Linked DNA regions of Drosophila melanogaster. The protein of the gene in region 2 interacts with the protein of the main gene of each other region in a pairwise test. Each region holds a gene or a part of one and is shown on either strand. Other genes may lie near its edges. The genes, in order: CG15764, Slmap, Patsas and moon.

The links.
Region 1: the proteins of Slmap (region 2) and CG15764 interact in a two-hybrid assay, tested with the Drosophila melanogaster proteins (one large-scale study listed by BioGRID).
Region 3: the proteins of Slmap (region 2) and Patsas interact in a two-hybrid assay, tested with the Drosophila melanogaster proteins (one large-scale study listed by BioGRID).
Region 4: the proteins of Slmap (region 2) and moon interact in a two-hybrid assay, tested with the Drosophila melanogaster proteins (one large-scale study listed by BioGRID).

What each region holds. Positions count from the first base shown.
Region 1 is NC_004354.4:5,866,914-5,871,187, reverse strand, and holds CG15764 (uncharacterized protein), read right to left. Parts: upstream 2,094-4,274; 5' UTR 2,007-2,093; coding exon 1,125-2,006; 3' UTR 922-1,124; downstream 1-921. Other genes in the region: GAA1 (glycosylphosphatidylinositol anchor attachment 1), read left to right, coding at 1-85.
Region 2 is NT_033779.5:22,576,618-22,585,329, reverse strand, and holds the start of Slmap (sarcolemma associated protein), read right to left. Parts: upstream 6,259-8,712; 5' UTR 6,078-6,258; intron 5,581-6,077; exon of another isoform or gene 5,510-5,580; 5' UTR 5,490-5,509; coding exon 4,197-5,489; intron 1,209-4,196; coding exon 648-1,208; intron 589-647; coding exon 1-588.
Region 3 is NT_033779.5:12,099,708-12,105,195, forward strand, and holds Patsas (patsas), read right to left. Parts: upstream 3,579-5,488; 5' UTR 3,438-3,578; coding exon of another isoform or gene 3,354-3,437; coding exon 1,788-3,353; intron 1,733-1,787; coding exon 1,541-1,732; coding exon of another isoform or gene 1,529-1,540; 3' UTR 1,058-1,528; downstream 1-1,057. Other genes in the region: Ced-12, read left to right, coding at 1-271, 335-834; ThrRS (Threonyl-tRNA synthetase), read left to right, coding at 4,188-4,349, 4,785-4,845, 4,981-5,414, 5,469-5,488.
Region 4 is NC_004354.4:12,071,156-12,075,297, forward strand, and holds moon (moonshiner), read right to left. Parts: upstream 1,664-4,142; 5' UTR 1,576-1,663; coding exon 1,057-1,575; 3' UTR 853-1,056; downstream 1-852.

The DNA.
Region 1 (4,274 bases), on a different chromosome or scaffold from region 2:
GCGACGCGACTACGCAGATTACCTGGACTTCGATGAGTCGCCATCAACGTCGCCGCAGCCGCAGTCAAAGGTGAAAACGAATTGAGGAGACGAACAGCACGGATTGCCATTCACTGGCTACATATATCAACTGGAAATGATCCTAAGATGAAGTGTGATAAACCCAACAAAACTGTGTGTGATGGCGGTAAGAGATTGCACATGCAGAGAAAATTCCATTTAAATGTTATGCATTTGATTAAATGTCTAAATAAAAGAAGCCTATTTATTAGTTGGAATAACTAAGTGTAAATGTAATCCAAAAAATATTAAATATACCACGGCATTTTCGATGTTGATTCCCAGTTAACTTATCATTTTAAATTACTTAAGTGGTTAACTTTATCAGTAGCTTCTTGTGATTTATGGATTTTCCATTATATTTGCAACTTTGTTTGCACGTAAAGCAGTAATGCATATATTTCCCATCCGTTGGTTATTATTTCTTTTGTCAATCCTCCGTCTTCGCTGGCGTTATTGGCCAGTGGAGGACAGGAGTTTCTCCGTGGAGTAGTGCTCAGTGGAGCACGTGCCTCTTTGAATAAGTGGAAAACTTTTCGACTATGACACGCAACTTAATTTAAACTTTGCACCGCTGCCAGCGCCATCGTCGTCGCTGCTGGCAATTAGTTATGAGCCAGGATTTGGCTCAATCAGAGGCATGGATGCATGGTGTCCTCGAAGCTGGGAGCCCTGCACTTGCCGCACCGTGTTTACCGGCGCCATTCAATCTGCAACTTAACAAGAAAACTTTCCTCACACAACCATTCAAAGGCAGACACAAAGTTGCGGCGGCACAGTGGTACTTTCACTCGAAATGTAGAAATGAGAAATTTTCGAATATCTTTTTATTAAATGGATAGATAGATTGTAAGATGAGTTCGGTCAAATCACTGAGCTGTATCACTGTATAAATCAGTTAACAAATATATATACTTTTTCAAGTAGTAGTTAATTAATCCTCGCAGTTCTAGTCTAATCGCAGCTTTTCAATATTTCTATGGGCCATCGTTAAAACAGCAGAGCACACAAGTGATTTTAGAGTTGTGTATCTTTATTCAAATACTATTCAAGGCTGGCCTGCGCTAGATGGCCATCTCCTGCACCTGATCCTCTTGGCTTAAAGAACCCATCGCCCTTCGCAACCATTGGCAAATCGAATTGGACGAGATAGGTAGCATCTCGTCCTGAGAGTCAGCCATATCGGTTTGGGTGCCCTTGCCGGTGCCCTTGCCTGGATTCCGATCCAGATACAGACCCTCTTTGGACTCCAGCTCCGTCTGTCGCTCCGCGTGGCGTTCCAAAGAGCGTTGACATCGGCTCCAGAGATCCTGGACATCCTGGCTCTCGCAGTCCGACTGAATGGCCTCTATCAGATATCTCATGGATCGCCCACTGTACTCCATCTCCAGGCTGCGGATCATTTCCGCATCGCTCTGCAACTGACACTGGATCGCCACCTGGCGTTCGAGTGCCTTGGCATCGAATAGCATTTGATCCAACAGTGCATCCGTCTCGGCGATCTCGATCCGAAGCAGATCGGCCATGTCCATGGCCGAACTAAGTTCCCCAGGTTTTGGGCAACGCGGCGAGGGTGGCGGTGGTGGTGGCGTCACCGGGATACGGGCCGTCTTACACTGGACGACACGTGGGGTCCTCAGATGCGTATCGGTCTTGCGCATTTTGAAAGCCTTGGGCGCAGGTCGTGGTGCTAGGCTACTGGGCCTACGCTTCGGGAAAGACCTTGCCGAGCTGGTCGCTGTGGTGGTGGGGTGTGCGGTATCACTCCTAGTCGTGAGCAACTCTGGCACTGCCTTCTCCAGAGATGCCTCCAGAGATGTATAGCCATTCACGCTGTTCAAATGGAGGCGACGGGCCTGGTGCACCAAATTGACGATAGCGCGATCCAAAGCCAAACTCCGGGCACTCACGGACTCCGCCGCGTCATTCAGATGTTCTGTGCTCATTCCAAAGCAGGTTTAGTGGAAAATTTTGATAATATTAATATATATATATGGCTATACTGTGAAGATGTAGTGTATATAAGATTTGGTACTACCGACCGAACCGTAGAGCAAACGTGTTGTGTGTGTCCCTGTCAAATTAGGTGAAATGAAGTGTTGCCAGTTGGAGACGGGCCTACTGGTTTCGGAAAACTCCAACTCCAAGATTACAAGTTTACAAAGGTTTTTTTCTCTGAGTGTATGAATGTGTCGCAAAGTATGCAGTTCGAAGAATATTTATATATGGTTAGAAATCTTTATACACAGCCCACTGTTGGCCAAAACGTTCGCATTATCCTTCGACTGAAGGATAAAGGGATGCGGAGAGTTCGTGATTGCGGGGGGGCGGGGGTGTTTTAAAATTGGCAAGTTGATGTCACATAATTGCCCCTCGAGCGCTCATCTTAATTATTGTGCTCGCTGACTTCCTGTTGCCCGACTTAATTCCCCGTTAAAGCCAACAACACACTCCCTGCGGTCGGGTTCGCCCCCCCACCCCCCACCATCCCACTCCAACGACCACTCTTTTGCCGGTTCCCTCTGCCGCCCATGGACTTACTGAGTGCGTCGCTGCTGCGTGTGGAAATAATTAAAATTGTTCGAAGAACGAGAGGTGTTGCACTTTGCATGTCGGCGAAAGGGGGATTGATGTGCAACATATATGTACATATGTATGAGTATGTGCATTATCGTGTCGGTTGGACAGAACAGCCATGCATTCATCGCGGATGTAAGGATAATGGAACCTACTTGAACGGCCCTTTAAAAAATTTATTGCTTTAACTATTAATCGTTTCATAAATTGAACCTTGAATGAGATCTGTAAATAAAATCCATTGCCAAACTGAGTTTATCCATTTGTAGAGCGACTTCAATTTTAGTTTCGCTGTTTTTTGCGGATTTTTTTTCAACGCTTCCGTGCTGCTTCTGTTTTAATGAAAAGTGAAAAGTGGGAAAACAAGTCCGGAATAGAGGAATACCAATCGAGAGCTTTCAATTTGCTCGACCATTGTTCTGCCTTTGTTTGCTTTTGGATTCGGATTCGGTTTCTTGTTTTTTTTTTTTTTTTTACCCGGGCTTTACTTTCGAAAAGAATTGAAACTTTGACAGTTATTTGTGTGCTTTGTCCGCCCCCTCGAAACAATGCACAAGCGGCGTCAATCCGCCCGACCTATATAGTCCTCCCCCCCCCCCCCCTAAACCACCACAACGAGGAGTCACGTGGCACTCCATTTTTTTGGAATGCCAACGATGAGTACGAAAAACTGGGCAGGTGAAATGGAAAACAAACGCATAGAAAGACAGGTACGAGAAAAAAGCATCCAAAAGACTATAGACATACACTGAGATCTTAGACGGAAAATGGAAAAAAATTATTTTGCAAAAATTAAACAACTTTAGATGAGCATTGTTATCATAACTTGACTAAAAGTGATCAGAAAGCAAAAAGAATAACTGTTTTGAGCAGCTAATAACGAAGGCTAACCATCCCTATCACTTTTTGACCGATTTAGGAAAATTAATTTTTGGACCAATTTTCGCATTTTCGGTAAGGGGTAACATCATCAAAATTTACAAAAAATGGCTAAAAAATGGAATTCCCATTTTTGGACACAGTTCGATTGGGAATTTAAATACGAACTCAACGTGATATGACATTCCGTATTCAGACAATTATTTTTAAAGTTGTGGCCAAAAAACTGACTATTTTATGACGGAAAATCGAAAAAAATGATTTTGGCAAAAATTAAACAACTTTAGATGAGCGTTTTCATCATAACTTGACTAAAAATGATCATAAAACCAAAGAAATAACTGTTTTGAGCAGCTAATAACGAAGGCTAACCATCTGTATCACTTTTGGACCAATTTAGAAAAAATAATTTTTGAGTCATTTTTCGCATTTTCGGAAGGGGTAACATCATCAAAATTTACAAAAAATGGCTAAAAAATAGAATTCCCATTTTTGGACACAGTTCGATTGGGAATTTAAATACAAACTTAACGAGGTATAACAATCCATATTTGAATGATTCTGTCAATTGTTACGAGAATAATTGTGTTATTTTCTAGGCGTAAAATTGGAAAATGATTTTTGGTACAAAATGGGATTATTTGCTTTCATTGGCATTGTAAAACAAAATTCGTAGAGCAACTATTTTGATTGAAACAAATGATCTCTAGATTTTTGCGAGTGCAAACCGAAAGAAGTGAACAAATAACGAAATAATA
Region 2 (8,712 bases):
TGTGCTATCTCGATTATCAATTAGCTCTAACGTCTCACGCGGTAAACTGTTTTCCTCTTCCTGCAAGTTTGTTGCAAAATTGTGATCAACGCCTTTCTCAAGCTGCTTCTTTAATAGCTCAATTTGTCCTTGCAGGAAGTGTATTTCACTTGTTAAATGAGCTGTTTTTTTCTTGTACGTATCACATTCCTCTTGTAACATATCAATTGCCTGCTCCGTCGGTAATGCATTTGGAATATTAAGATTTTCCTCAACGTCTACAAGCTTTTCCTTACTTTCCGCATTAGGGGCTGACAATTTCGTTGCAGCCGAATCCTCTAAAATTGTATGTGTAGTTGAAGAATGGTTTTTAAAGTGATCCACGATTTCGGATGTATTTCTGCTAACGAACTCTGTTGGAACTGAATCGTTTGCCATATCCTCCTCCTCCTTAACTTTGCATTCAAAGGCTTCATCGTCACCATTAAAAATAGCTTTAAGCACTGAAGATCCTTCTTCTCCCTTGCCAAGATCGGAGTTCTTTAGCAATCTTAAGACGTTCGATTTATAATTGCCTTCTTCTAAATCGGGATTACTTAGTTTTAGCTTCTAGAATTAAATAGGAATATATTAATATATAATAGCATTAAGACTGCTATAAGCATTACCCTTTTTTTCGTTTCAGACAACACATTTTTAGCTGGTGACACAGACAAAATATCATCGTCAGAACTTTCATTATCATCCCTTTCATTTAGCGCTCTATCTTGAGCGTGGTCATAATCGTCAAGATTTATTGTATCTAAGTTTTTTAAGACAATTCGCTCCTTCAAATGTTCAGTATCAGACTCAGATAAATCGCGATGGATTCGCGAGACCTGCAGACGAAGCTCCTTAAGCTCGAGCTCCTGCGTCGTCAGCTTTCCATTTAGCACCTCTAAGCTGCGTGATTCTTGCTCTTTAGCCTCTTGTTCTTGGCGCACTGACTCCTTCTTGAATTCCATGTACTCCTGCTGAAGTTCCTCTAACCGGGTATTGAAATCAGTCAGCGTCTGCTTTAGTGTTAGAACTTGAGCGCGAAGTATGCCGCACTCGTTTTCAGAAGTGGCGTAGGCCATCTCCATCTTAGAGAGCATTTGCATAGCATCGCAGCGTTCCTGGTAGACCTTCCGCAGGGCCTCTTTGGCAGTCAACTGGTACGTTGTTTTGTCCTCAAGAAGCTTTACAATCTATTGAAGACAAAGAGAGAAATATTAAAAAAAAAAAATCAAATTTTACCAAAATATACTTAAAATTTTTTGCAGACAAAATTTTAATATTCAAAGGAGCTACTGACCATTAAGTCGGAAAAAGGTCCTCTTCGAGTTTTTTAAACCCATTTATAAGGGTATATTAATTTCTTTCAAAAAGCTAAAAGGTTGAATTTTCGAGCTATAGAATATTTCCTGTATTCGGTACCTTTTTGTTGTTTTGTCTTATTTCACGCACAAGTTTAAAATCGCATATTCGTATGGTCTCAATTTGCTTGCCTATCTGTATTTTTACCGTTCTGTATGAGTTCTTTGTTTTAGAGCCCTAGAGCACATGTATGTACAGTTTGTCAAGAAACTGTTTACACACTGTAAAATAAGTTGACTTTTTGACTTTAAAGCTAAAAATAAAGGGTTTTTTGCTTAATTAAACGCAATTTTTTTATAAAATATTATTAAACAATATTTATTTTACTTATAAATCAAAAAACAAATTAAAAATATTAAATATACAAGAAAATAAACAACAAATTCCAAGTTTACACACTTTTGAGACTGTCAAGAAACTCTTTACACAAAACACTAAATCGAAGTTTAATCCTAAATTTTTTAATTATTTTATTAAAATTTTAAAAGTTTTGGTATGTAGTATGTTCCCCATTGGCTTTAGCTACAAGTTGAAGCCTTTTTTTCATGGATTGGACAAGTTTTTGCAGGTCATATTCAAACGGGATCTTTTCACACTCTTCGACTATTACAGTCATAAGCTGTTGTTGTGTTTTAGGTCCCTTTTTGCCACCTTCTTCTTTAAGTAGGTCCACAAATTTTCAATGGGGTTCAGATCAGGACTCTGAGGGGGCGTATCGATCACTTTACCACAGTTATTAAGGCGCCAGGTGCGTACATTGCACTCTTTATGTTTCTGATCATGTCTTGGTAAAACTTAAAATTTGGCTTGTTGTTGCTAACCAGACTAATTTTTTCTACACTGGCCTTCAAATTTGTTTTCTAACATTTCTAGATATTGCACGGCATTTATTGTGCTCTCAATTAAGGCTAGTTTTCCCACTCCACGGCTGGTGATACAGCCCCACACCATCAGTGACATTTTTCCAAATTTTATCGTTGGAATGATATTTTGTTTTTCTAGCGCACTCAACGGTTTGCGCCATACTCTGCTTGGCCCGTCGTTATAAAAGAGCATCATTTTTGTTTCGTCACCAAATATGACGTCATCCCAGTACTCTTCCGCATGATCTATCATGCTCACAGCGAATAAATGACGCTTTTCAATATTGGCATCTGACAGCAAAGGGTTTTTCCTTGCAACTCTTGAAGAGTACCTATGGCGTAGGATGACTTGGAGCACAGTTTCGTGTGACACAGCTAGGTGACATTCTTGCCTGATATCCAGAGCAAGTGATCTGACCGAGATTCGGGGGTTCGCAATCACTATTCGCATAATAAAGCGGTCTACACGCTTTTTAATTTTAATTTTCCGCCCACCACCACTCTTAGGTTCAAGCCTGCCCTCTTTTTCCGAGCCTTTTAAAACATTGTAGACGGTCTTACGGGATACAGGAAACATTTATACTAATTCTGGAAAAGATTTTCCCAACTGGTGGTTATAGTTTATTAATTGGGTAACTTTAAAAGTTAATCTCTTTCCAGGCATTTTATTAAATTTAATAATTCGCTTTAAGCACGTTTGATCAGCAAAATTTCACAAGCAAAGTCAACAAAATTTCAATAGAAGCGTTGTAAAAAGCAATGCAAAGCCAAAAATAACGGAAAAATCGAGTTCGTTCTAAGAAAAAGAACAAAACAAAGTAGGAAAACAAAATGTGTAAAGAGTTTCTTGACAGTCTCAAAAGTGTGTAAACTTGGAATTTGTTGTTTATTTTCTTGTATATTTAATATTTTTAATTTGTTTTTTGATTTATAAGTAAAATAAATATTGTTTAATTATATTTTATAAAAAAATTGCGTTTAATTAAGCAAAAAACCCTTTATTTTTAGCTTTAAAGTCAAAAATTCAACTTATTTCACAGTGTGTAAACAGTTTCTTGACAAACTGTATATACATTAGAATATAACTCTTTTAATTCTGTAAATTAGAAAGTGTGGGGTGGGAAACAGCTTTTGGTATCAAATAGGAGTCCCTTATTTTGTACAAAAATAATAGCAATGATCTGTTCGTATCAAATGTGAGGATTGGGTCAGCAAAGCACAATTTGTTTAAGGATTTATTTTTTCTGTTATATAAAAACTGAGAAAAAAAGAGAAAATATACTTTAACCTAAAAATTAGAAACAAATAAAAAGTAACGTTTACAAAATATGTATAACAAATTACTCCACTGGCACCAATCGGTGGCACCAAAATACCATTTGCTCACAATTAAAATACAATACACCTTATACAAATGATTATAATTAATGCGTATTCAAATAATAAAAATGAAGGAATCAATGAATGAATAACAAAATGAAACTCTAAAGCCATTATATACTGCTTTGTTTTAAAGGCACAACCACTAGATATAATTTGATGGGACCGAATTAAATTGCTTAGATTCAGATTTGCTTAATTTTTGTGCATTAAACATTTTGATTATGTTTGTAGTTAAGACAATTCATTATAAGATTTGGTTCAATTTATTTTATCTTGTCCGGTTTGGGAAACAGATTTATTAAAAATTTGCATATTGAAATCTTTAAATTAAAAGGAAAACACAAGTGTGCAAAAATGGTTTTTTAGAGATTCCGTTATACAGGCTAACGGAAAGGTGTGTACGTATTTATGAACAAACTTTTTTAATTGTTCGTGTGAAAGGTTTTTGAGGTTTTGCTTAGTTTCATGCTTAATACCAGTATTCTTGCTTTCATAGTTGTCCAGGATCACAGGATAAAATTGTAAAAAATAAACAAAGGCTTAATTTTTTAATCGGTCGCTAATGGGACTTACCTCGTTTCGCAGTGCATTCTCTGGAATGTTCTTTTCCATCATTTGCAGTTTCTTTTCCAGAATATTTATCTTGTGAAGCAATTGGTCTTCAGTGATCATGCTTTGCCAACACATCGCAGAGTTCTTTCTGGTGTTATCAAGGACGCCTTGCAAGCTGCTTAATTTAGCTTTCAGAGATTTTTCCCTTTGTGCAGCCTCTTGGAGGAACGAGCTTAGGCGCTGCACTTCATCAAAGCTGATTCGGTTAGGCACAGTCAACATCATCTGCTCTGCCTCAACTGAAATGGCCTCTTGTCCATTGGGTAGAAAGAGGGCGACACGGGCCAGGATACACCCGTGTACCTCCTGACGTGAATTCTCAATTACCTCAACGCCGAACTTCACAATATCGCCATAATGTAGTTCCGCTGGATCACTACCCAACTTGTTGTCGTTAATAAAGGTACCGTTGCTGGATTTTGTGTCTTTGACCCAGAATTTACCGTCTGGAGTGTACCACAAAATCGCATGGTTTCTTGACAATACTTTACAGTCAAATATAGCGTTCCCCTCACCCGCCTTACTTTTAGCTATAAGGCGGCCCACCTTGCAATCCTGGTTGGGCTGCAGCAATATAGATCTCGTTTCAAACTTGTGCGACTTTGGTTCACATAGGAGTACGATTTTTGCTGCACCCTTACATGGCGTTGGGGCAGACTCCAATCCTATGTCTAGATCTACGCCAGAAGTTGGGGGCACTGAAGAGACTTGTAAAGTGCCGCATTCCGATGCCACCTCCCTTTGTAAAGCACTATTGTTTAGTACTCCTAGTGGGCTAAACAGACTGCAGGCAGTAGTTACTCGAACTCCAACCCCGGTGTTATTTGCATTCAGCACAGAGTTCATGGCCATATTCATAGCATGCTGGGAAACTTCAGCCGGACGTCGGTCAATACATACTGTGTTGGAATCACAAAGTTCCATATTATTATTTTCCTGGTTCTTCGTGGACGCCTCGTTGTTACTATCAGCCATATCTTCTTTTATGTCCATTATATGAAAGAAATTGTCCTGCTCCAAATTTTTTTCAGTTTCCATGTTTAAAGCGTATTGCGCCTCCTCTGGCTTCACAGCAGGTTCTTCCCCGGATGGATATCTGGTCGTCTGAGGTAATTCCGTGGCCGTGTCGGTTGTGCCAGTTCTGTTTAATGCCGTTGATCCGACTGCTCCTGATGCTGGCGTCGGCGATAATGAACTTGACGTCTGGTCTTCATCAACATTATTTTTTAACCACTCATTGCACACCAAGACCATTACTTTACATCCAAACAAACCTTTGGGGATACGAGAACAAAAGCGGATTAACAAGTTAGTAATTAGTAATACACGAGTGGCTGCTGTTTGACAAATCCGACTAGCCGAAACATTGACAATGAATCCAAATTTTAAAGGCCTGCTTTAATTTAATGTAACTATAAAATTTGTCTTTTCCCGATGAAAATTTGAAAAGGTTTCCGACCACATAAGATATACACACATATGTAAATGCATACATACATACATACATACATACAGAATGAATTTGCATTTGATACAAAAATATGTACGTTCAATAGCAATGTTTTCAAGAATTATTGTAAACAAAAAACTATGCCATTAGTTGGTCATTCTTATGAATTAAGCAATTTTCGAGTTAAGGATGTGCCGATTAATTACGACAACTTAAACCAGGCATTAAAAATGTTTGGAACGGTTGGAAATTGTTTACTTTTTTGATTTAAAAATAAATTATATGGTACGGGGAGGACCGCTTAAGTTCAAGAACATTAAATTCGCAATAATATAAATGTTTGATATTGCGCAACGTTTTTACCTTTATTTTACAATGCACGCTTGGCTTACCTTGGAATTTTGTAATTTTCCTGTATTAATTGTTGCAACCTTCTACCCGTGTTTTTTAGTTTTCTTTAACTTTGAACAATTGTTGTACAAAAACACCTGGTTTCGCGGTAAATTTGTGTGCATACTTAAAATATTTCCGTCAAAATAGCGACAATCAACTGGTGATGAACACGGAACGATGAAAAAAGCGCTAAGCATTATTGTATATAATAATATACAATATACCAGTTTATATACCATATACCAGTTTCTATGTTGACATGCAACGATAGAACCATTCCATTCTGCAATTTCATTTCCAATAAATACAAACAATAATTTTCTAAAATTTTTATAAGAAATAAGATTTAAGAATTTTAAAATGTTTTAGAGCAATGTCGTATGCTAGAAAGGTTAAGAGTATGTTTGTAGTCGGCATACAAATGTTCTGCAATTACATTTCCAATAAAAAGAAACAAATAATTTTCTAAAATTGTTATAATAAGAAAGGAGATTTCGGAATTTTAAAATGTTTTAGAGCAATGTCGTATGCTAGAAAGGTTAAGGGTATGTTTGTAGTCGGCATAAAAATGTGTTTCCGAACCTTAAAGTATAGTGTACTCCTGATCATAAACACTATTCGATCAGGTCCGGTCTGTCTGACTGAAGGCTGTGATCTCGCAAACTACAAAATAGAGCTGGAAGAAACATCGGAGATAGCGCTACATAGATATTTAAAAAAAAATCGGAAACATCGAAATTTTCGGACATCGATGTTAGATTTTTCTGTTTTACCCATCACCATTTGCAGGGAAAGATCTTGCTAAGCTAATCGGCTAATGGCAAGACAGACAAATGTATTAAGTGGGGCAAGACACCAAACAAGTGCGAATAATACTAACTTGTCTTGCCACGTAATGAGGATACATATTAATTTAACAGTCAGTGAATTGCCACAAAGGCAACAGCAGTCAATTCTGTCATTTATTGACAAAATAATGAAACGTTGACGAATCGAAAACAAGTGCTCTACGCTACTACATTGGCTCAGACTTGCGCGGATTCGGATTTCGACGAAACAACTTATTTTTCTGAAAACATTGCAAACTTAATCCGCACAGTAATTGATGAACGCCCATATAGTTTGAAACAATAGAAATAGGTTATAGAAAATAAAATATATATGTATAGAAAATCCAGTTGGAATGGCGCGTTTTACCTGCTGAAACGATTTTTGATTACAAAGGTTGCTATCGCAACTGTTCTACTGAACCAAAGTCTCTAGAATAATAAAGAATTATTGTAGTGTCTTTGACTGAACACTCTCAAAGGGTTGGTTATTGCCGTAAATATCGAATAAAATATTCATTTTCGAGGATTTGAAGGCAATACTTTAACCTTTAGAGCATGCAACGGTTAAAGTTTACAAATTGTTCAAAATTGTGGGCGTGACCGGGTTGACGGCTTTTGGTCGTTAGAGTAGGCGTGTAAAAAGTTTTTGGCATATCGATATAAATTTTAGCGACTAATAGAATTATGAAAAAAATATCGAAAAAAGGTTTAAAAATGTGTGTTTTGCGCGGCATTTTTGGGAGGTTTTAGGGCGTTAGAGTGGGGCTGGCAGGTTTGTGTGCGTGGCAACATGGGTCAACCAACTTGCGCTGCGTCTTTTTCTGTGTTCTAGCTTTTTAAAATTCCTGGGATCTCGACGTTCATACGGAGAGAGGCCAGATAGACTCGGCTATTGATCCTGATCTAGAATATTTACACTTTATATGGTCGGAAACGCTTCCTTCTGCCTGACATACTTTTCAACGAATCTAGTATAACCTTTTACTTTATGAGTAACGGGTATAATGAGTGCATATCTTAATTATAGTTTGCAGCTTTATCGATGTTTGTTTTATTTTCTTTTAAATTGAATTCATTTTTCATTATAATTTTTGTGTTTGACGAGAAAGTAGTTTTAAGTTTCATTTTGATTTTCAGGCAATAAAAACACCAAAGTATGAATTTTAAATTTATAAAGAACTTTTACCCATTTTGATTTAGTTTTGGTATTCATTTTTAATATGATAATGACTAAAATACATTAAAAAACACCCTTAAAAATTTCGATGTATTGATACATCGATGGAGGTAAACATCAATGTTTTTCCAGCTCTACAAGACAGCTAAAATACGGGATTATCGATACTGTCGCCGTTCGAGTGGATTTGCCTTCAACGGCTACTCTCCTTGGATCCCGAAGGAAAGGAAAGACTCTTCCTGGCAGTAGTAGTGTGGCGCCCAGACTGAAGCCCGGTCTGGCATCACGGCGAAAACAGGTACTAACGCCAAGACCTTTCCTGGAGGACGATATCTTCTGATATTGTCAGACTGGACACACTCCAAGCGCTTTCAGCAAAGATCACCGACTTACCGAGCAACTACGTCAACATATCAGGGCAGCCCGACCTACTCCTGCAGCGCATCATGCTAAACCACCTGTTTTCATTTGTAAGGACCTGAGAACTTGTACGCACGTCTTCAAGCGAGTGGCATCTGTTAAGAAACCACTCGAGCAGCCTTACACGGGACCTCATCGGGTAATACGCCGGGTTGATGACAAGTTCTACATCATCAGCATTCATGGACAAGAGAAGGCCATATCAGT
Region 3 (5,488 bases), about 10 Mb from region 2:
CGTGCCACTGCCGAGGACTTCAGCACAACCTTCAGCGTGGTGCGGGAGCAGATCCAGCGCACTCTAAAGGGCAGACCCGAGAACCTGGACGATTTCCGAAACAAGATCGCTTTGTTGACCTATCAGCAGATCACAACACTGCGCCAGCAGGAGCGCACTTCGAAGGAGGAGTGTGATTCCACAGCTTCGGCGATTGTTAAGCTCAAAGAGAAGATATCACCGCAAATTCTTGAGCTAATCAAGCAGCAACGGCTCTCTTTTCTGGTGGAAGGTACAATTTCTAATAAATACATTTCAAGGGCAATCTTAACATGGATAAATCTTGCACTTATAGGTACACATTTTGCAAAATACTTGCGAGGCACTCGAACAAAGGACAAGTTCTGGTACGCTCGTCTTTCGCCGAATCACAAGGTGATTCATTACGGAGATTGCGACGAGAAGACAATACCCACCATGGAGGAGTTGCCCAAGAAACTGCCCATCAGTGAGATTAAGCAATTGCTAGAGGGCAAGGAATGCCCGCATATGAAGGAAACTCGCATTCGGAAATCGGCGGTAAACCTGGCCTTTTCCATCACCTTCGAAAACATGGAGCACTCTACGTTGGACTTTGTGGCACCCGACGAAAGCATATTCAACTACTGGACGGATGGAATAAACGCGCTGCTGGGTCAACCGATGGTCAGCAAGCAAAAGAACGAGGACTTCGACACTCTGCTGTCGATGGAGATCAAATTGCGCCTGCTGGACACGGAAGGTGTGGACATCAGCAAGGACCCACCGCCAATACCGGAGGATCCCGAAAACTATGATTTTTGCTTTGAGAGCTAAGCATAACGAGCACAATTACTTCACGAATTATTCGATTCATTCTAGACTCCCCCATCACCCAAGATACATGCCAAAGTGTACACACAACATAATCGTATTCTCCGATCTGATCTTCTACTAGTATTACTTGTGCAATTCCCCGAACACAAAATGAACAAACTGGTGACGGTCACGTCCAAGTGACTAACCGCTGCCTAGCCATTTAGTGAACTTTACACCATTTATGATTATAATAGGTATATAATATATAGAGATCATTAAATAACACATTTTATACATAACAATTTTGTACAAAAACTAACAAGAGAAGCGTATTCTTATCCAAGCCTAAAAGGTAATTAGTTAGTTAAAAAAAGCAAAAAGCACGGCTGGCCGATGCTTTGAACACCATTGCGGAAGGAATTGATTTGGAGCCGTTAACAATAATGGAATCTTAGCAATGTAATTTATTGATGCTCTGAATTGCACTTGGAATTTGCTATCGATTTGTCCTTCCGCAAGGATATGTTGATTGCAATTGTAAATGATAAAACACGCACTTGACGACCTTTGGTTCGAACTTTAAAGCATTCGAGTAAGCAGTAAGCCTGCGGAGCAAAACCAAACTGGCAGCCTACCCGAGTGGGTCTCTGGCTGCCTCCTCGCAACATTATCCACGCACGGGCAGCTTGCGCCGGCGAGCAGGGGCTCGATCCTAGATCCTTAATCAAATGTTATCCTCCAGCAGGAGATCGTTGTCATCGCCCCGGTCCGGCAGGCAGACAAAGAATTCGAGTAAATTCAGGATGGGACCACGCGAGAAGGGATTCTGATATCGTCCGCGTTTGTCCCGCAAGTAAGGATAACGCTTGTAGTTAAACATCTCGTTTGTGGTGAGATTCATGCAGGCGTGCAGGATCTGCCAGTGCAAATGATGTCAAAACGATTAATATTTTTGGAAAAGAAGCACTTACCGAAGTGCATGTGAGTATCCAACCCAAGCCGCAGAACACAACCGCCTCGATGAGTCCCAGCACATAGAGCATCGTGAAGCCCTCGATCATCACGCAATAGCAGGCAAAGTAGATGGTGAACGAGCAGTTGACGGCCACCGAGAGGACGAACAGGAAGAACCACATTCTGTTCCTCAGTCCCACGCAGTTGTAGATAAAGGGACAGTGGTGGTCAAAGTACGAGACACACCGGTTGCACACGCGGCAGTGTTTGGCTCGCAGCGGCCGGAGGCACCTGCAGCTGTGACATAGTCGGGTTAGCATCACATTTCGCTTCTTCAGTTTGTCGAAGTACGGAATCTGCTTGATGGCCCGGTAGTAGGCATCCGAACTGAGTGGTATATACCCCGGATCCCGGCGATTGGCAATGGCCCAGCTTATCCACATTACGGCGTTCCAGTATATAAAGCAATAGTGCGAGCGTCTCAATATGTTCCACGTAATGGGAATCGCACGGATCATGTACATGGGATAGCCCCAAAGTAGCACAGAGAAGAGAAATAGAAACAGCGGTCCCTTGGAGTCTCCAGCTCCGCCAAAGAGCCAGCCCCAACTTTCCGAGACTGAGGGAATCCAACGGGACTTCTTCTTCACCTCGCCGTACAGCAGGCGCACCACATCCTGGTGCTGATGAGCCTGTGCCAACATGATCGGCGTCTTTCCATTCTTGTCCCTCGGTTCCAGATCCAGCTGGGACTTCTCGCACAGCAGGCGAACGCACGTCATGTTACCAGACAGGCAAGCCAGATGCAGTGGAGTCGATCCAAAGTTGTCCGTCTTTTGAAGCTCAACGCCGGAATACATGAGGAGTCGCATAAGATCGGCATGTCCCTTGTACGCTGCCCAGTGGAGTGCCGTATCGCCGTTTATGTCAGTTAGGTTGTTCAGCGCTCCCATTCCAAGAAGATAGGCCGCCGTTGCAGTACGGCCGTACATGCAGGCGAGATGGAGGGGTGTAAGTCCCTTGAAGTCCGCCGCATTGACGGCAACTCCAGCCTGGAGGAGGACCTGCACCACGGACGCATGACCCTTCCTGCACGCCCAGTGAATGGGCCGTGGACCCTGCGTACCCAAACAGGGCAGATCGATCGGAGCCGTGCGTTCGATGAGGTATCGCATCAGCTGGACATTGCCGTTGAGAGCTATCCAGTGGGCTGGCGTGTAGCCATGACGATCCCTGGCCGACAGACACTCCATGCCGAACTTGTCCACGAGATTCTCCACCTCGCTGACCTCTCCGTTCTTGATAATATCGAAGATGTCGTCCAAACTCACGGTGGTGGCACCATCGAGCCCCTCAAAGAGGAGCACATTTTCGTGGTCCTCGACGCCGCTACTGCCGTGTCCACCGTCCGTGCCGCGACCCGTTAATGGCGGCGAATGCGGTCGATGATCCAAATGGATGTCGTCGGCGTGGGCATGGCCATCCTCCTCCGCGACGACCATGTTGCAGGAGGAGGAGGCGGTTAGGGGCAACGCCCACACACTGCGCGCCGCCCCCGGACTTGGATGCACCTTCGAGGCCATGTAGAACTCGAAGTCCACGCCCAGACGGTCCGCCGTTCCACCGTTGCCTTGATGCAGGGGGTTTTCCAGTAGGTGTGCAATCTTGTCGCCTTTTTCCGTTACGCTCCGACCGAAATTTGTACTCTGTTTGGCCAATCTTAGGCGTGGAATGCTAGGTAAACACGACTGCACTCGATGGCGAGGAAATTATGTCAGCACTGTGAGAAAATCAATATTTGTCCCGAATCGCAGGACTCGAATTGGGGCCACTTTCGAACTCGACTTGGCGCCAAACAAATCAACAGCTGACCGTTATTTTCGCAGTTGGGCGCGCAGTGTTGCCAACACATACTGGTAATTAAGACTTTTCTCAGCGAGGGGTGATTTAAGATTTAAGTCAAGAAGTATTAAAGAAAAAATATATATATTTAATTTGTTGGAAGGTCAATTGTTGAAACCGAGGTATCATTTAGCTTAACTTAAATATACTAGAAATCTCGTGGCATAAGCAAACTAAAAAAAAAAGGTTTATCAACTGACTTTTATATTAGTTTTAACATTATTGGGAAACATTTGTTTTCCGCCGCTAGAAACCTTTAAAATGTATACTACTATATTGCTTGGTACGAATGTTGCATTTTGAACTGATGCTAGCATTGCATTTTGTAAGGTTCCCATGTCTCTGTTATTTTGCCACCTGGTAACACTGTGCCCCTTTTTGATAAATTTGTTTCGTAAAAAATGGGCGACAACGTGGTGACGGAACTAAATAACTTGGATTTGAACAATCAAAAGGCATGTTAAACTCTTTTCGAACTGCATTCGAGTGTATGAGAAGTGCTAGTTAGCCGAATTATGTTGAAGTTGGCGCCGCAGGGCGGCAGATATTATAGCCAAATAAGCCGCATTTGCCAGTGGATTTTGCCGAAAATTCAGACGCAGTCGAAGCCACCAAAACAACAACAACAACAGCAACCACAATTGAAAGAACAACAACAACACAGCTACGCAACTTTGGTTGGTGTTTTAAGCTAAAAAGAATTGACCTAAACTTCAATTTAAACGCCTGTTACTGCTGGCACGTGTAAATGTTATGCTTGTCTGTGTGAGTGTATGCGATTCTCCAATGAATCAGTGCCGCCGGCTGTGACGTCACTAACAACCAACCAACTTCATGAGTGTCTGTTTTTTTTTGCTACTCTATTGCATCAGCCATAAAACGACGAAGATACGCTCAAAGACGGCTCGATAAAACAGAGATAGGAGCACCGAAAACATAGCACCGAAAAGTGCTCATTGCCATGTCCCCAATTGTTTAAACAATAAGAAAACATCAGTCGAAAGTAGATACCGAAAAAGAGCATTTGTCTAATTGCATACGTAGCACACTTGTGGCCACTTGAATATCTCCGGTTTATATTGATTTTTAACCTATTTCCGATGGATTTGCAGGCTGCCAAGATGAAGAAGGAGAAAAAGGAGAAGCCATCCGGCGGTGGAGATACTCGCAAGGGTAAGTAATTCTAACTAAGAATTAAAAACACAAAACGCACTTCCGTCTGTAAGATATGTAGCATATCTTTAAGATTAGCTGCCTTCTTCTCTCTAATACCTGAAATTCCACTGATCTCTGCTATATTGATTTCAGAACTCAGTCCCTTGCCCAAGTACATCGAGGAGCGCAATGTCTTCTGGGAGAAGTGCAAGGCGGAATACGAGGCCGAACTGGCGGCCAAGAAGCGTGAGCCCATCAAGGTGACACTGCCCGATGGCAAGCAGGTGGACGCCACCTCCTGGGAGACCACTCCGTACGAAGTGGCCCGCGGCATTAGTCAGGGTCTCGCTGACAACACCGTCATCTCCAAGGTGAACGGCGAGGTGTGGGATTTGGACCGTGTGCTCGAGGGAAACTGCACCCTGCAGCTTCTCAAGTTCGACGACCCTGAGGCGCAGGCCGTCTTCTGGCACAGCTCTGCCCACATCATGGGTGAGGCCATGGAGCGCATCTATGGTGGACACCTGTGCTACGGTCCGCCCATTGAAAACGGCTTCTACTACGACATGCATCTGGAGGGCGAGGGTGTAAGTAATTTGTGATGTTCAGTAAGAATTAAATTAAATTGAACGCCCAATTAGATCTCCACCAACGACTACGG
Region 4 (4,142 bases), on a different chromosome or scaffold from region 2:
GTATTTGCACATTTCCATATTCCAAATTGAAATATATATAGAGAAACAATGCAAGAAAATTGATCAAAAACATGAAATATCTAAGCAAAATAAAACTTTTCTTTTCTGACTTGCCGTATTGTAGTTGCTTAAACGTTGAACAGATTTTATACAATTTGAAGTTTGAAAGAAAAATGATAATGTATACTTACTATACCTCTACCTATTGTTTCTTGACTTGGCTGGTAATTATGCAAAAAGAGATCGAGCTACGTGTGCAGATTTGTGAAAGTTTCCTTATGACAACCGCCACAATATTATGTTGTAATGACCAGAAAGAATACAGAAAGACCCGGTCTAACGACCAAGTTGTCTTGCATTATATATGTAAGTTCAACGTTTTCCGAGTGGATATTTTTGGCGCACCCCATCTCAATTTTAACGCTTTCAGTGTCGACTGCCTCCCACTGACACCCCCACCCACTGACTAATTTGTCACTTTTGTTCTCGCCTCGCAGGGACTTTTGGAATATCTTGTACTTTTTTTGATTGTTTTTTTTTTTTTTTTTTTTTTGCTGGCAACCCTTTTTTCAAGGGCAATTTCGTATTCAAATGTTGTTTGACTCGGTGTCTGTCTCGCTTTCTCTCCATTTAGTTGCTAGTACGTGTTCGTTGTGACCTGCCCCGTTTTCCATTTTGCTCGCAGCCAGTACATTTGGACCACATCCCCCAACCGGGTAGCTCTCATTCGCACGTAATTAGCTGTTAATTTGGACTACCACTTGGCAACCGGGCGTGGAATTTACTTTGTAACTTCTCCCATGTTTCGGTGTGTGGCACCGAGCCGTTCATGGGGAAATTGGGAAAACGTTTGTTGATTTGGCCCACAGAAGACGATGGCATTCGTATGGTTTATTGGCTCTGGTTTTGCTTCACACCTATGCTTATGTTCAATTGGTATGATTTTACAAAGGTTGATTTGATTATACAATTGTTATTTTTAATTTGAGTAAACAATTGATATTTTGAATTTACATATCTATGTGTTTGGGTGCTTATCCTAGGAGGCTGTAAGGACTACATTTCCTGGCCTGCGACCACTTTGTCAACAAACGCCTGAAGCTCGGCTTGTCCCTCTGCGTCGGGGGCTGCCATGATCTTGTCGAGAATCTGCCAGTTAATGTGCTTATTCAATAGTCCCCGTTTGATGACAAAGGCGCGCATCATAATGTTGAAATAGCGAGCTCTCCAAGCGGAACGCAGTCGCGGAATGTAGATGCGATTGTTGACCATCTCGTTGTCGTCCACATCGTAGATGTCGACTTCGCTGCCCTTCTCCTCGACAGGCTGGTCCTGCTTCTTTGGAGCGATTTTCTTACGCTTCTTTGGCTTTGGCGGCAGGGGATTCGATTCCGGCTGTCGGTTGGCCAGCTTCGCCATCCATCTAGATTGCAGGTCGGCCAGCGCCAGGTACTCCTTGTGCGTTAGGTTTGGCACATCGCGGAATAGTCCCTCCATCATATCGATCATCACATCCTCCGGAAAGCTGCACGACTCCGGTATCCAGATGCCATCGGTGGGCAATATCTTGGCCATGGCAAAGCCAAAGCAATGTGGTTGAAATGACTGGTTCTCAATGTTATTGTTTTATGAGAGCTACGCTGCTTACGCCGATAGATTAAGCTTGCTATCGATCGATACAATTGATCATCGACTTACCGCAATGCATGGGAGGATTATAGAATGTTCACACTGATAACGATGTTATAAGCTATTAAATAAATTTATATAGATATATATTTATATATAACAATAATAATAATAACAATTTTACTCATGTGCATTTATAAATGGTAATATAATTTAAATTTTAAGTTATCTTGCAATCGAAAGGGGCTAGAATATTGGAAAAAAAGCCTTGCTTAAAGATTCTTTTAACTTAAACTACGACATCTTCCTGGCCGTTGGACAGCTTCCACCACCTGCAGTGCAGCCCCATGGCAGCCTTGCCATCCATCTGGTGAGCCAAGTAACCCCGGGAACCCAACTGACAAGCAAATTACTTGACCGGGGCCACCACCAACCACAAGTCAAGGTATGGCTGGCAACCGTTAACTTTGCAGCTAATTATAAATGAAATCCGATATCAAAAGGCACACTGGGACACGCCTTTGTGCAACACCCAGGCACCAGCACCCACTAACACACACGGGGGCTTGCCCCCTCCAACCCACGGCACACACACACACTGAACCAGCCGTCGAATACACAGACAATGTCAATTCATTTGGAGTTTTGGAAGTCCTGGTCTTGGAGTCCTACAGTCCTGGAGTCCTGGAGTCCTGGATTCCAACCGGCCGCCAGTCTGTGGTTCTCGGCAAACAAACAAATAATGAAAACAGCACAAAGGGGCTGGCATCGTGGTGTCATCGGCGGGTTAGGGGGTGTTGGGTTGGCGTATTGTGGGCGTGGACCGAGAACAAAGTGGAAAATTCATAAAATGTCATTGTCGCTTTATTAAAACGCGCCAAAAACCTTCACGATGCCCCACTCACCACTAGCAGCGCCATCTAACCCCCATTTCTAACACACAATTAAGCAGTGAAAACAATTTGGTATTGAAAACAATTTAAGTCTAATAAATTATTTCACATATGCGTTACATAATCTGAAATCGAATACAAATGTTTCTATTGTGGCAAGTTCAGTATTACTATGTATTACTATGCTATGTTATAATGTTTTAAAAACCTTAAGACAAAGCGATCATTTCAAATAGAAGTATTTTTTAGCGGTGCACCCACACATAGATGTCAATCGTGGTACAACGAAGGGGGTGTTTCCGAAGGGGTGGGGGGGTGTTTGGGGCTTCATGAGTGAGTGGGTGGGTGCTTTGGCAAATTGGGCGGACGGCGACGTTGTCTGCTTTGCCATCGACAGCTGTTGGCGTCATTTACAAAAGCTTTTTGGCCGTTTTATGGGATTTTGCAACAGTTTCATTTTCATTTTGCGCAGGGCGCACACACACACACACAAACACACACACACACTCATGAGCAGAATAAGGCTTGGGGAGGGGGGTGGAGTTTGGCGGGCATAATGCCGCCATTAGAAGTTGCCGCCAAGCACTTGCTAACGCCAAAAGATGATGATGAGCAGCAGCAAGAGCAATAGCAACAAGGACCATATGCCATATGTGTGTGTGTATGCAGTGGCATTCGCAGAAGGGATCTAAACTCGTATATTTAAGTACTACATTTAAGACAAGACATAAAGGTACCAGGATACTCTTTAAAACAAGATGATTGCCTGCTTTTGAACTTTCAAGACTTTGATTTGTAGCTATTATTTTCTAAAAGTGCAAATATCCCTTTCTAGACTTCAGTTACGAACCCCCTTTATCTTAGACCAGAGACACCCATGCATGTTACGCCGCAGTTGTATCTGTAGTTGTGCGATGTTGCGACAACGATAATAGCTTCAACGTTTGTTGATTCGTTTGCCGTCTATATATGTTAGTCTGCCTGCCTGGCCAAACCTACGATTTTATCACGCCCTAGACCCGCGAACCCCTAAAGTCACCGTCCATGCACCCGCACATAACCATTTTCCCTTGCCCATTTTCCCCAAGCGTCGTCATCGTCAGCGTCATATTTGAACTTTTAATATTGACGCCATTTAACACGTTCGGGTGGAAATTTTATAAATGACTCTGTCTGTCGTTGGCTGGCTCCCTACTATGAACCTCCTCCCTCTGTAACCACCTTGTAACCTCCTTGTAACCCTCAATAACCCGTGTAACCCCCCCAATAGCAAACGACAACCTTCGATCCCCAACGACGCGACAAGGAACAATGATGATAATGATAATGATAATGATAGTGCCGATGATGATGGCGATAGCGCTGATTATGCGGCTGATTTGGGCCGTGAGTAGTTTGGCTTGAAAATGCAGTTTATACGATAAATTACTCGACTATTTGTGGCCATAGGCATAGATTGAATTGAATCATAAATGGCATGGGCGATCAAAACTTTCGAGTCACTTGAATTGGTTACTAACTTAAAAAGAATGGCATAATAAATCGATAAAATCAAGAGTTTCGCTAATAATTGAGTATTTCAATAATATATATTTGGTGATCTTCTTGATTCGAATCCAG